Kluyveromyces lactis: one gene and its partner. The protein of the gene in region 1 binds, or shares a complex with, the protein of each later gene. Links are inferred from orthologs where the notes say so. Each region holds a gene or a part of one and is shown in the gene's direction. Other genes may lie near its edges.

Evidence for each region.
Region 2: the proteins of COX3 (region 1) and COX7 are in contact, whole or in part, in a cryo-EM structure (PDB 8DH6), measured with the Saccharomyces cerevisiae proteins. The link is inferred for Kluyveromyces lactis from reciprocal best matches to the Saccharomyces cerevisiae genes COX3 and COX7. Residues at the interface, in NP_009328.1 of Saccharomyces cerevisiae: Met18, Pro19, Ser20, Pro21, Trp22, Val25, Phe28, Ala29, Ser32, Leu35, Ser36, Leu39, His42, Gly43, Tyr44, Ile45, Gly46, Met50, Leu53, Phe56, Val57, Thr60, Ser61, Leu64, Arg67, Asp68, Ala71, Glu72, Thr74, Tyr75; in NP_013983.1 of Saccharomyces cerevisiae: Ala2, Asn3, Val5, Leu8, Gln9, Phe12, Gln13, Leu19, Trp20, Arg22, His23, Arg25, Ser26, Tyr29, Leu30, Phe33, Ile36, Phe37, Val39, Ala40, Val41, Thr43, Pro44, Leu45, Tyr47, Ile48, Ala51, Gly54, Ile55, Lys56.

The regions. Positions count from the first base shown.
Region 1 is NC_006077.1:37,255-40,192, forward strand, and holds COX3 (cytochrome c oxidase subunit 3), read left to right. Parts: upstream 1-1,284; coding exon 1,285-2,094; downstream 2,095-2,938. Other genes in the region: VAR1 (ribosomal small subunit protein), read right to left, coding at 1-551. UniProt on the Saccharomyces cerevisiae protein: Component of the cytochrome c oxidase, the last enzyme in the mitochondrial electron transport chain which drives oxidative phosphorylation.
Region 2 is NC_006038.1:767,901-770,125, forward strand, and holds COX7 (cytochrome c oxidase subunit VII), read left to right. Parts: upstream 1-1,351; coding exon 1,352-1,540; downstream 1,541-2,225. Other genes in the region: ubiquitin-protein ligase PSH1, read left to right, coding at 1-999; AIM39 (Aim39p), read left to right, coding at 2,225-2,225. UniProt on the Saccharomyces cerevisiae protein: Component of the cytochrome c oxidase, the last enzyme in the mitochondrial electron transport chain which drives oxidative phosphorylation.

The DNA.
Region 1 (2,938 bases):
TATAATGATAAAATATTACTAATACTATTAATGTTATTATTTAATAAATTAATTAATTTACTATTAATATTAAATTTATAATTACTATAAATATTATTAATTAAATTATTGTTATTATTAATATTTTTATTAATATTTTTATATGATAAATAATAGAAAAATTTAATATTAACTTTATTAATACTATGTTCAAAGATAGGTTTAGAAATAATTAATTTATAAATTTTATTATTAATATTTAATACTAATAATTTTGTTAATAATTTAGTTACTAATCTATCATAAATAGTATTATTAATTTCTTCAGTTTTATTAAATTTATAAATTTGAGATGATCAAGAATTAATATTATTTAAATGTTGTAATTTTACACCTTTATTACTTAATTCATTTAAATAATCTCAAATATAAGTTTTATTTAAAGATCTATTTAATCTTTTATTATTTAATAATAATAATAATTCTTTTATAGAATTTAAATTGTTTATATTATTAATATTTTTAATAATATTTAAATTTGTTGTATGTTTATTCATTGTATTTATATTTATTTATATATATTGATCGTATAATATATATATATAAAACTATATATATATTATTATTAAATTATTAAAAAATTTAACATGTTTATTATATTTACTACTTATAAATATAAAATAAAATATTTATTATATATTTTATAAATTATGTATATTCCGCGATATCATCATATGATGATATCGCGGGAAAGAGATAAATTCCCGCGGATCCTCTACTGGTAATACCAGTAGAGGATCCGCGGGGTAAGATAATATATTCTATTTATAATTATTATTAAAGAGATAATCTATTTTATTTCCCCCCCCCCCAATCTCATATTATGAGATTGGGGGGAATCGATATATAAACCCCGGACGCCATCGTCCGACCGTAGGGTCGGACGAGGCGTCCGGGGAATTGTATTTATTTATATAGATCTATTATATATAATAATATAATTATTAATCGCCAAATACCCCTATTATAGGGGTATTTGGCGATACTAGATATATATTTAATATTACTAATAATATACTATATATAAATAGTTTTCATAATTAACTTTTCCCCATTGCGGACTCCTCCCTTCGGGGGGGGGGGAGTCCGCAATGGGGTTTATAAGTAAGTATAATATAATAATAATTATATTAAAATATAAATATTATCATATATATATATATTATATATATATATTAAGTAATATTATTTCTATAAATTAAATTAACATTTAAATTTATAAATGTATAGATTATAAAAATATTTATGACACATTTAGAAAGAAGTAGACATCAACAATTTCCCTTTCATTTAGTAGCTCCATCACCATGACCAATTGTAGTATCATTTGCATTAATGTCATTAGCATTATCATTAGCTTTAACTATGCATGGATATATTGGACATATGTATTTAATTTATTTATCAATTTTAACAGTAACATTAAGTGCTACATTATGATTTAGAGATATTATTGCTGAAGCAACATATTTAGGAGATCATACAATTGCTGTTAGAAAAGGTATTAATTTAGGTTTCTTATTATTCGTAGTATCAGAAATTTTAATTTTCGCTGCATTATTCTGAGCTTATTTCCATTCAGCTATGAGCCCTAATATTGAATTAGGTGGTGTATGACCTCCAGTTGGTATTCAAGCTGTACAACCTACAGAATTACCTTTATTAAATACTATTATCTTATTATCTTCAGGTGCTACTATTACATATAGTCATCATGGATTAGTAGGTGGTAATAGAAAAAATGCATTATCAGGATTATTAATTACATTCTGATTAATTGTTATTTTTGTTACTTGTCAATATATCGAATATACTAATGCTACTTTCACAATTACTGATGGTGTATATGGATCAGTATTCTATGCTGGTACAGGATTACATTTCTTACATATGGTTATGTTAGCAGCAATGTTAGGTATTAATTATTGAAGATTAAGAAACTATCATTTAACAGCTACTCATCATGTAGGTTATGAAACAACAGTGTTGTACTGCCATATTTTAGATATCATTTGATTATTCTTATATATTGTATTCTACTGATGAGGTGTATAACTCATCAGTACAATATATAAGAATATCTTTAAACAATAATATTCTTACCTTTTTTATATTAAATATATAAATAAATATATAATATAATATTAATATAATACTATTATAAGTATTGCCCGCGGCAATCCTAAATAGGATTGCCGGGGAATTAGAACTACCCGTGGCACCCCCCCAAGTATATCCTAAAAAGCCCCCCGTCAAATATATTATAATGTGTCCTAGATATATTTATTTATTATGACGACTATTAATAATATGAAGTACAAGCCCAATGTCATCAGGGGGGAGGGGGGGGATTTTTTTTTTTTTTTAAAAAAATAGTTCGTAGCGTACTATCATTTTTTTTTTTTTTGGGGGGGGGGGGGAGGGTGAAAAAAAAAAAAAACCCCCCCCCTCCTCTTATTATCCCTCATATCCGAAGTGGTACTTAACTCTAAGAATAAGACACTAGTTTTTTATTTATAATCGTTATATATCTTTTTCCTCGCTCTCTTTTTGTTAATATTGATTATTCTTTTCTTTTTATTTTATTATTGTTATTAAATTTTATTTTCCTATATATATTTATTCATTAACTATTCTTTATATTTCATTATCTCCCTTTAGACTATCTTACACAGATGCTACCTAATTATTTATTCTGTAATATTTTCTCTTTATTTTTGTTTTGTTGTTTTTTTTTATGTTTTATATTCTTCTTTATATCTTAACAAATGAAGTTAGTTTTATAAGGAATCTGGATCTTTTTAAGTTATCGGTCAATCACCGCTTTTCTGATCAGTAAATAATCACTAATACACTTTACTCTGCCTCTATGTGTCATCTCCTCCAACCCTTTCTCCTC
Region 2 (2,225 bases), on another chromosome or scaffold:
ATATGCCACGATTATATGTTTGTACCAGTCATGACGAGCTGTGGACACAACTATTGTTACGAATGTTTGAATAACTGGTTGAACAACAATCGATCCAACGTATCAGAATTAACGTGTCCGCAATGTCGAAATGTGATTACCAATGAACCATCGTTGAACGTTGCCTTACAACAAATAGTCGATCTGATGCTAGATATAGCAGCGGAGGACCCACAGAAATCGAATTCCTCCGAAGTACGATCACTGCTCACACAAAGAGAATGCTCCGTTGCTGAATACAAGTCTGACCTGTTGGAAGAAACGCTATTCAACAGTGTGTTTAAGAATACTGCCAAAGCCATCATAGACGATGATGACGATGGGATAGCAAGGTGTAGCAATTGCCAATGGGAAGTTGAGGGTCCCGTGTGTCCTAACTGCAATGCTACGATACGGAATTATAATGCGGGTGCACAGAACTTCGACGAAGTTGATGTGGATGAGTACTCTGACGGAGAACTGGAAGAGGTTGAGAGAGATTTGGACAATTATAGAGCCGAGAGTGCACGTACTGTGCACGATTTGGAAGCCGAAGAGGGAGATGAGAGTCTCAGTTCAGAGATGGACCAGGCATGGCCCACAAGACGGCCTAGGAACTTTATGCATGGAGAAGAAGAAGAGGAGGAAGAGGAAGATAGAGGATCGATAGATTCGTTCATAGTGGATGAGGAAGAAGAAGAAGAAGAAGAGGAAGAGGAACAAGAATTGAAAGATGAACGGAAGTTCCGTAGAGCATCTGTTGCCCTCTCAGATGACGATGACAACGAATCTCGCGACAGTGATTTCTACGAACATAATGACGATGGATACGCGAGTGGTGACTCCCTTGACGAAAGTACTAGTAACGACGAACTAGAACCGCACACCATCCGTCTCACTCATAGTCAAGACAACAACAACAACAACAACAACAACTCCGCGCGTAAGAAACGTCTCATAGTCCTAGACTCTGATGAGTAACAATAACAGCGTATATACACCTTGTACAACCTTCTAACGATACTAAAAGTCACGTGTAAACCACCATCACGTGCAACAACCCCGCAGTTACCCTGAATGTCCCCGTATCTTTTCCCAGCCTATGGAGTTTTCGCTGTTTAGAGGGAAGTTGAATTTTCACACCACTCGAAAGCCAGTAGGGGAATATCAGATACTGAGATTAAAAAAAATTTTGGAAGAAATAAACTGTTATGATAGTTAGTTTACACTTGGTGAATACAGTTTTCGATTTGATTCATAGTATTTGTATATTTTGTTTGTTGTTCATCGATTGCCAATACATTTGTTTAATCATAGCCCCAAACATTGAACGATGCCTTCTCCAAGCAAAATTATTGAACTACAAAAGCTGTTCCAACACTCTTCTAAGCCATTGTGGTCTAGACATCCAAGATCGGCTTTCTACTTGTACCCATTCTGGGGTTTGTTTACTGTGGCCCTTGTTGCTCCATTGCTATACATTCCAAATGCTATCATGGGTATTAAGGCTAAGAAGAACTAAGAACTGTTACGTTGTGTATGAATGAATGAATGAAATCCCGAGAGGTTTTTTCGTTAATTATTTTATTATCAAGATACGTCCAAAAATATCCCATATTCACTTTCCCTTATGTTATTACCATGTTAAAAGAGCGAACGAATGAACGAAAATGCACAGCAACAGTATTAGGAAGATATGTTCTTTGCTTCTCTTGTTGAGAAATCTGTTTGTTTCAAATATATATATTTAATTCCAAGACCAGGTCAAGAAATGGAAGAATGGCCTACACCCAGTGTTGAATCCTGACTTCCAGTCAATCTTTATATTAATCAATTTATTATTGGCGCTTTAGCGAAGGAGTATGCGTGGTTTTATTCATGGTCACAATACTCCGAAGTTGTTGCACTATTATTTAGAAAGAATAAGTTAAAAATAAAATACTATAATATATTTTTAAGTAAGACTTTCCGGACAGTACGTTATATCACCCTGATCTGAGTGTTTTCGGCGTATTTGATGGTCCGTTAGCACTTGGTAGCTACCGTGTTCCCTTTTACGTGGTATTGTATTCGTTAGTTCAATATAAAATTCATTTCAGTGCAAAGAAAAATTGTAAAGAAGTCCTTATTGAACCAGTAAGATGAATGAATGAGAAAAAAGGGCAGAACCACAGAACAGTAACCCCGATTCCAGGTAGCATATCTCA